Callithrix jacchus: one gene and its partner. The protein of the gene in region 1 purifies or fractionates together with the protein of each later gene. This does not show direct contact. Links are inferred from orthologs where the notes say so. Each region holds a gene or a part of one and is shown on either strand. Other genes may lie near its edges. The genes, in order: UBXN7 and NPLOC4.

The links.
Region 2: the proteins of UBXN7 (region 1) and NPLOC4 purify together in Homo sapiens (affinity purification with mass spectrometry; 3 studies listed by BioGRID and IntAct, with this or other methods). This does not show direct contact. The link is inferred for Callithrix jacchus from reciprocal best matches to the Homo sapiens genes UBXN7 and NPLOC4.

What each region holds. Positions count from the first base shown.
Region 1 is NC_133518.1:80,615,982-80,620,513, forward strand, and holds the start of UBXN7 (UBX domain-containing protein 7), read left to right. Parts: upstream 1-1,581; 5' UTR 1,582-1,612; coding exon 1,613-1,685; exon of another isoform or gene 1,686-2,617; intron 2,618-4,532. UniProt on the Homo sapiens protein: Ubiquitin-binding adapter that links a subset of NEDD8-associated cullin ring ligases (CRLs) to the segregase VCP/p97, to regulate turnover of their ubiquitination substrates.
Region 2 is NC_133506.1:137,289,887-137,294,267, reverse strand, and holds the start of NPLOC4 (nuclear protein localization protein 4 homolog), read left to right. Parts: upstream 1-1,329; 5' UTR 1,330-1,506; coding exon 1,507-1,521; intron 1,522-4,381. UniProt on the Homo sapiens protein: The ternary complex containing UFD1, VCP and NPLOC4 binds ubiquitinated proteins and is necessary for the export of misfolded proteins from the ER to the cytoplasm, where they are degraded by the proteasome.

The DNA of each region.
Region 1 (4,532 bases):
CTGGGCAACAGTGAGATTCCCTGTCAAAACAAAACAAAAACTACAGCCCTTGATTTGACATGGCTATTTCTTAATTCTCCCAAATAGCATATTTACTCAGGATGTGTCAATTCTCCAGGTAACTTGTCCCATCTCTTAGTGGACCATTTTCCTATGAAGATGCAAAATACGTGGAAGTCGGAAGGTGGGAGGCGAAAACAAACAGAATCACACGGAATCTCTTGTAACTTTGTTGGCAAGGTGGGGGGACATTCGATTTGAGTTCACCCCACTCATGTAATTGTTTTACAAAATAGTTAATATTATTCAAGTAACACACTAATACATTTTCTTTTTTCGAAATCTTTTTTTTCATTTTCTTTTTTTTTTTCGTAGAGTCTTGATATATTTCCCAGTCTGGTCTCAAACTGCTGGCCTCAAGCGATCCTCCCACCTCGGCCTCCCAAAGTGCTGGGATTACAGTCATGAGTCGCCGCGCCAGGCCAGTAATGTTTGTTCAAAAATTAAAAGAGAAGGGCCGGGTGCGGTGGCTCACGCCTGTAATCCCAGCACTTTGGGAGGCCGAGGCGGGTGGATCACGAGGTCAAGAGATCGAGACCATCTTGGTCAACAAGGGGAAACCCCGTCTCTACTAAAAATACAAAAAAAAAAAAAAAAAAAAATTAGCTGGGCATGGTGGCACGTGCCTGTAATCCCAGCTACTCAGGAGGCTGAGGCAGGAGAATTGCCTGAACCCAGGAGGCGGAGGTTGCGGTGAGCCGAGATCACGCCATTGCACTCCAGCCTGGGTAACAAGAGCGAAACTCCGTCTCAAAAATAAATAAAATAAAAACAGAAGAAACTCTAAGGAAAGTGCCCAGTCCTTCTCCTCTCTGGCGTTTTGAGGACACTTTCCCCGTGTTTTCTTTCCTCTACCGCATATACATCGTCTGTTTTTATACAAATGACACGTCTTAGGGTCTGAGTAACACCCTAAGGGGAGACGTACTGGCCAATTTATTGACGGAAAGCAACTAAACAATCGCCATCAAAACCTACCGCGTGTCCACCCTGCTCTTTGGCGTGAAGGGTTCTGGAATTTCACTTCTGGCGTTTCACTCGCCACGGTCGGTGAGCGGAGCCATGAGTTTAGAGGCTGGGGAGCCGGGACGGGAGTCGCTTCGAAGCCAGGACGTCGGATTTGTATTTTGCTGGGACCTGCAGGAACCTAACACAGCGCGGTGGGACTGCGAAAAAGAAACGACACTGTCACGGCAGTCGGCTCTGTCAGTGAGGCCCGCGAAGCCGAAACGCCAGCTGTCCGCGGAGGCCCAGGCTGCCCTCGGAATCTAGGAATGGAGCCCGCGCCTGCGAGGCTGGCCCTGGAGCCCGGAGCTGAGGCGCCGGCAGCGGCCGAAGGACGCAGGGAGCAGCGGCCACCGGACAGGCGGCAACCCGGCAGCCAACCGGAGAGCGGGCGGCGCGCCGGCCCGGAGAGAAAATGCGCCTGCGCGGTCGGCGGGGGCGGGGCTTGGGGCGGCCAGTGCGTCTGCGCACGGCGCGCGGCGAAGTGGGGGAGGGCGGTCCGTGTGTGTCTGTGTTGTTGTTCGGCGGCGGCGGCGGCGGCGGTAAGATGGCTGCCCACGGGGGCTCCGCGGCGTCGTCGGCGCTGAAGGGGTTAATTCAACAGTTCACCGCCATCACCGGTAAGAGACGCGGTTACCGGAAGGTGGGGAGTGGGGTCCCGAGCGGGCGGCGGGTCTGCCCCGGGCTCCCCCTTACCTTCACGCATTCCGCCTTCGGGCTTTACCCGCAGCTGCGGTCCTTCCCGAGGAAGAGGCGACGACGGCGTTGGGGGGTCTCGGGGTTCAGGCGGGAGACGGCCCCCCGCACCCCCGACACCCTCGTTCTGGGTCTCCTAGTAGTGTGGAGGGAGCTCCCCCAGCCCCCCCGCCTGCCCAGACCTGGGAATGGACCGAGCCCGTCCGCCCCCGCCGGCCCGGGGACCCGGGGCGGGGGGAGTGGGGGGCCGCACCCGGGCCACCGCCCTCCTCCTCCCCTCACCATCCTCCCTTCTCTGTGCAGCCCTGGGGTGCGGCGCATCTCTTCACCCCTTTCCCTTTCTTCCCGGCCAGGTCGTTCTGCCCCGGTCCCCGGCCTGCCCTTCCCCTCTCCGGGCCCCTCGGAGCCATCGCCATGGCCCTGGCGGGTTCGGGCCCTCCCGCCTTCACCGCGAGGCCGGTGGGTTCGGCAGTGCCTGTGCCCTTCCCGGGGGTTAGGCCGCCAAAGCGGGGGGTGCTGGGGAGGACCTGAGGGACGGAGGCTTTGAGGGAAGAATGAGGGGGAACCCCCACGCTGGATAGGGGAGGCCTGGAGGAATCCTGGGTGGCGTTTCCCACCTCCCCATAATAAAATCATAAAGACGGAGACGATGGCGCCGGGGCCTCCTGCCGATAAGATAGGGATGGCGGCAGAAACTTTGAGAGAGAAAATCTGTTTCTGGGTGTCAGAACCCCCGAAACCCTGGGCCTAGGTGGTTCTCTCCCTGTGGACCCCTGCGAAGGGCACGGGCAGATCGTCTTACCGCCTGGAGGAAAGGCCCTGAGCCATCCTGTGAATTCTCTGTCTTGTTTCTCTCGGAGGGTGCTGAACTTTTCTTGCATGAGTTATTAGAGGGCGGAGCAAATGATGAAGTTCTCAGTGGAGTGATTTGAGAGAAGAGTACTCCATGTGCCTGAGTGTAATTTCGCCGTTCTAGTTTGTCATTTTGGAAGGAGGTCAGAATGGTAGTTGTCTCCGCGGATCTATATTTTGTGATTTGTTAGATGCAGAATTTGTTTCCACTGTTAATGTTCTTAGAATTTAACGTAAGATCTGGTTAAGTAAAATTTTATATTGTTTTAACTACCGCAGGCTGTATACGAGTTACCGTTTTATTATTAAAGCTGGTTTTATTTTTTGCTTTGCAATGATAGCGGCATGTTTCGTGCGTTGTTATCTAGCTTGTGGGCATGGAACATCAGGTCAAAGTTAGTGACGTAAAATTTGTAATAAAATTGGGGTGAGGAGTCATATTATTTTTAAACTTTGTGATTGGGTTATCATATTGAAGATAAAAAGGATTGGATTATTTATTTATTCATTTATTTATTCGTTTATTGAGACAGAGTCTTGCTCTGTCGCACAGGCTGGAGTGCAGTGGTGCGATCTCGTCTCACTGCAACCTCCGCCTCCCGGGTTCAGGCAGTTCTCCTGCCTCAGCCTCCCGAGCAGCTGGGACTACAGGCGCATATTACCACGCCCAGCCAATTTTTTGTATTTTTATTAGAGACGGGGTTTCACCATATTGGCTAGACTGGTCTTGAACTCCTGACCTCATGATCCACCTACCTCGGCCTCCCAGAGTGCTGGGATTACAGGCGTGAGCCACCATGCCCGGCCAGGATTAGATAATTATATTAAATATATAAAAGATTTCCTAATCTCTAACAAATCATTGCTGTGGAGAAGATTATTGTGTATATAAATTAGTGTTGCTGCATTATGCTTATATAGAAAATCTTTGCAGTAAATCTGAGAAGTGGATATCATTATTAGTCCTTTCTCTAGATTTCCTAGAGGTGGTTTATGATGTCACTTGGGCCTGGCATGGAGCCTCATGCCTGTAATCCCAGTACTTTGGGGAGATAGGGCTGGAAATTCACTTGAGGCCTGGAGTTGGAGACCAGCCTGGGCAAAACATAGACCCCATCTCTACAGGAAAAAAAAAAAAAGAGCTGAAGAGCCTGGCTCGGTGGCTCACACCTGTAATCCTAGCACTGTGGGAGGCTGAGGTAGGTGGATCACCTGAGGTCAGGAGTTCCAAATCAGCCTGGTCATCATGGTGAAACCCCATCTTTCAAAACAAAAAAAAAAGAGCTGGATGTAGTGGCACTGACCTGTAGTTCCAGCTGCTGGGGAGGCTGAGGTGGGAGGATTGTTTGAGCCTAGGAGTTCAAGGCTGCAAACAGCCTTGATGGAGGCCACTGCATTCCATCCCTGGCAAGAGAGCAAGACCATCTCTTCCCCCCACCCCCCCAAAAAAATATAAAGAAAGAGATAAAAGCCACTTCTTTTAGTTGTTGCTGCTGTTAGTTTGAAACAGTCTTGCTCCGTCACCAGGCTGGAGCGCAGTGGCATGATCTTGGCTCACTGCAACCTCCACCTCCCGAGTTCAAGCGATTCTCCTGTCTTATTAGCCTCCTGGGTAGCTGGAACTACAGGCGTGTGCCACCAGACCCAGGTAATTTTTGTATTTTTTAGTAGAGGCAGCGTTTCATGTTGGCCTGGCTGGTCTCGAATTCCTGACCTCAAATGATCCACTCACCTCAGCCTCCCAAAGTGGTAGGATTACAGATGTGAACCACCACACCCAGCCCTAAAAGCCACTTAATTAATTTTTAGTTTCTTGGCTGGGCAGGGTGGCTCATGCCTGTAATCCCAGCACTTTGGGAGGCCGAGTGGGGTGGATCACCTGAGGTCAGGAGTTTGAGACCAGCTTGACCAACATGGAG
Region 2 (4,381 bases), on another chromosome or scaffold:
ACTACCTCAGCTTCCTGAGTAGCTGGGATTATAGGAATGAGCCACTTCACCAAGCTAATTTTTTTTTTCCTTTTTGAGATGGAGACAGTCTTGCTCTGTCACCCAGGCTGGAGAAGGGTGACCCCATCTCCGCTCACGGTGACCTCTGCTTCACAACTTCAAGTGATTCTCCGGCCTCAGACTCCTGAGAATCTGGGAATATAGGCATGCAAGACCACATCCGGGTAATTTTTTTTTTTTTTTTTTTTTTGAGGCGGGGTTTCACTCTTGTTTCCCAGGATGGAGTGCAATGGCGCGATCTCGGTTCACTGCAACCTCCGCCTCCTGGGTTCAGGCAATTCTCCTGCCTCAGCCTCCTGAGTAGCTGGGATTACAGGCAAGAGCCACCATGCCCAGCTAATTTTTTGTATCTTTAGTAGAGACGGGGTTTCACCATGTTGACCTGGATGGTCTCGATCTCTTGACCTCGTGATCCACCCGCCTCGGCCTCCCAAAGTGCTGGGATTACAGGCTTGAGCCACCGCGCCCGGCCTCAATTTTTGTATTTTTATTAGAGATAGGTTTCACCATGTTGGCCAAGCTGGTCTCGAATTCCTGACCTCAGATGATCCACCTGCCTCCGCCTCCCAAAGTGCTGAGATTACAGGCGTGAGCCACCGTGCCTGGCCTAATTTTGTTTCACCATGTTGGCCTGCTGGGTCTTGAACTTCTGGCCCCAGGAAATCTGTCCACTTCAGCTTCCCAAAGTGTTGGGATTACAGCCGTAAGCCACCGCGCCCGGTCTGAAATGTAGTTTTTTTATTCATTTGTTTTTCTCATGTTAAAATTTTTTTATTTTTTCTTTTTTTGTTAATCAATGAGAGCTTCTTATGTTGCTCAGGTTGGCCTTGAACTCATAGCCTCGCCTCCTCAAGCGCCAGGACAACTGGCCAGAGCCACCGCAGCTCCCGTCTCATGTTAAATTTAAAAAAAGACTTAAAAAAAATAACAAAGGTGTGGTCCTCTCCCTGAAATTGTTTCTCTCCTTAGCTGTGCATGGAGGGAAGTTTGGAATGCTATTTCCCCAATTATAATTCGCTGTAATACGCAGCAGTAGCTATTTTTGGGTGAGATTTCGGATGCTTGTCTTTGCCTCCTTTTTGGGCTTTTCTGTACAGCTTGCGTTTCCGAGGACGAGCATTTGTTGTCATCGACGGGGCATTTTTCCAAAATTCGCCTCCTCGCGGTGCCGGGAGGGGAGGCGGGTCCACGGCACCACCCTGCGCATGCGTCCAGTCGTTGCTGGGACCGGAACCTGGTTTCCCGGCCGCGCGCCTAGGGGAGAGTCTTGAGCGAGGCACCAGGACGTCGGCGGCTGGCGGAGCCGGGCGGGCGAAGCTGGAGCGGCGGTTGCGGCGGCGTAGGGAGGCCGGGGCCGGGTCTGAGGCCGCGGCCGGGTCTGCGAGGCCCTTGGGGCAGCAGGCGGCGGCGGCCCGGGACTCGAGCCCGGAGGCAGGAGTGGCCACCATGGCCGAGAGCATCGTGAGTGCGGCAGCCGGGCGGGAGCGGGGACGCCGGGATGAGGCAGCAGATTTGCCGGCCGCGGCCTGCTGGGGAGGCGGGCCTGCCGGCCCCGCGACCGGGTTCCTTTCCCCTTTCTCACCCGGGCTTTCTCAGCAGAGGCTGGGCCCCCCTCGGCGACTTTCACCCCCTCGGCTGCTTCCCGTCCTTGTCCCTTCCCGGCGGACTCGCGACCCCGGTTCCCCGCCCTGGGCAGGGAAAGGCCGAGGCTTTCTGCAGGGAGAATTGACTGTGCCGAAGAGAAACCGCCCTCCTTCCTCACCCGGTTCCCGGCTCCAGGAGACTTCCTGGTCCAGTTCCAGGGACTCCCAGCTAGTCCTGCCCCTCTCAGAGCCAGGGCCACTTCTTACCCCAATCTCCCTCCGATTCTCTTCTACCGCTCTCCCCCTTCCCAGCAAGTGCCTTGTCATGAATCACTGAGGAGAGCAACTGCAGACGGGGACGTTACAGAGCTCCCTCCCCGCCGGTGGAGCTGGGAAAATGAAAACGCAGTAACTTCCCGGCTTTGCTCCTTCTAGGAAGGAAAACTTGACAACTCCTCTTTAAAAGGAATGTCATAAATGAGGTTGATTTAACTTTTTACCTGAAACTGAGAATTGTCAGCCGAGCGCAGTGGCTCACGCCTGTAATCCCAGCACTTTGGGAGGTCGAGGCGGGTGGATCACGTGAGGTCAGGAGTTCGAGACCAGCCTGGCCAACGTGACGAAACTCCGTCTCTACTAAAAGTACAAAAAATTAGCCGGTCGTGGTGCCTGGCGCCTGTAATCCCAGCTCCTTGGGAGGCTGAGGCAGGAGAATCGCTTGAACCTGGGAAGTGGAGGTTGCAGTGAGCCGAGATCGTGCCATTGCACTCCAGCCTGGGCAACAGAGTGAGACTGCATCTCCAAAAAAAGGAAAAACGAATTGTCATCCCTACCAAGGTAAAAAATGTCAGTGAAAAATCAGGGAAAACCAGCCCCTCGTTAACTTGTGAGAAGCTGTTCCCCAAAAGTAAATGTGATGGGGAAAAATTAACTGACTCTTGGACAGAATTTTGGTTAATTTTTTTTTTTTTTTGAGACAGTTTTGCTTTTGTTGACCAGGCTGGAGTGCAGTGGCCCTGTCTCGGCTCACTGCAAACTCCACCTCCCGGGTTCAAGGGATTCTCCTGCCTCAGCCTTCTGAGTAGCCGGGATTACAGGTGCCTGCCACAACGCCCGGCTAATTTTTTTGTATTTATAGTAGAGACTGGGTTTTGCCATGTTGGTCAGGCTTGTCTTGGACTTCTGACCTCTGGTGATCTGCCTCTCTCAGCCTCCCAAAGTGCTGGAACTTACAGGCATGAGCCACTGAGCCCAGCCGAATTTTGATTAGTATTAAGAAAGGTTTGGGATTTCTGGGGGAAGCTGAGCAGTACTGGGTGAGGAGTAATGTTCATGCTGTAGTATTGTGACAGTCTCTGCAGTTTTACCAGGTGTCAAGAATCGGTCTTCAGGCCAGGCGTGATGGCTCACGCCTGTAATTCCAACACTTTGGGAGGCTGAGGTGGGTGGATCACAAGGTCAGGAGTTCGAGACCAGCCTGACTAACATGGTGAAACCCCGTCTCTACTAAGAATACAAAAAATTAGCTGGGTGTTGTGGTGCATTCCTGTAATCCTAGCCTCTTGGGAGGCTGAGGCAGGAGAATTGCTTGAACCTGGCAGGTGGAGGTTGCAGTGAACCGAGATTGCACCATTGCACTCCAGCCTGGGCCACTAAAGTGAACTCCGTCTCCAAAAAAAAAAAAGAAAAAAATGAGCTAAAGACAGATGATAATGCAAGAAATAGAAGCTCTGCAGTGCACTACCAGTCATTGCTGAGAGGAGAAGCTAGGACACCAGCACTTGCAGCATGCTCCTATCAGCCTCCTTCCCGTCTGCAGGTGGTTGGAGCAGGTCTTTGTTTGTTGCAGAGCATGCCATTTCATCCTCCCTATGTGAACAGGGACCTGTACTGTTGGCTAGGCATTATAGCTCACCTTCACAATGGCTTTCATCAGCATAAAAACGAAGTCGTCTTAGGAAGTAATGCTCTTTGTCCCATAGTATTCCAGATCTGCCCCCTTTTTAGGCTTACCATGGGAAAAAAAAATACTTAAAAAAAAAAAATATATATATATATATATATATATAAATAAAATACATACATATTAAATTAGGATGGAGTCAAGCGTGCTGTGTTGGCCAGGCTGATCTTGAATTCTGGGGCTAAAGGGATCCTTCTGCCTTGGCTTCCTGAAGTGCTGGGATTACAGGCATGAGCCACTGTGCCCAACCGAAAATATTTTTTTAAAACCCTGCTAAATTTTACCATTAATGACCATTGTTGTTTTTAACTTTAATCTCTCTCTCTTTTTTTTTTTTTTTTTGAGGCAGGGTCTTACTATGTCACCCATGCTGGAGTACAGTGGAACCATCTTAGCTCACTGTAAACTTGACCTCCCTGGTTCAAGTAATTCTCATGTCTCAATTCCCCAAGTAGCTGAGACCACAGGCGTGTGCCACCATGCCTGGCTAACTTCTGTATTTTTAGTAGAGATGAAGTTTCCTTATGTTACCCAGGCTGGTCTTGAACTTCTCAGCTCAAGTGATCCATCACCTTGTCCTCCCAAAGTATTACAATTACAGATGTGAGCCACTGTGCCTGACCATATTAAAATCTTTTTTACAGAAAGTAAATAACAGCTAGGTGTGGTTGCTCATGCCTGAAATTCCAGCACAGTGGCAGAGTCACCTGAGCCTAGGAGCTTGAGACCAGCCTGGGCAGTATACTGGTGATACTCCATCACTACAAAAAAAAAA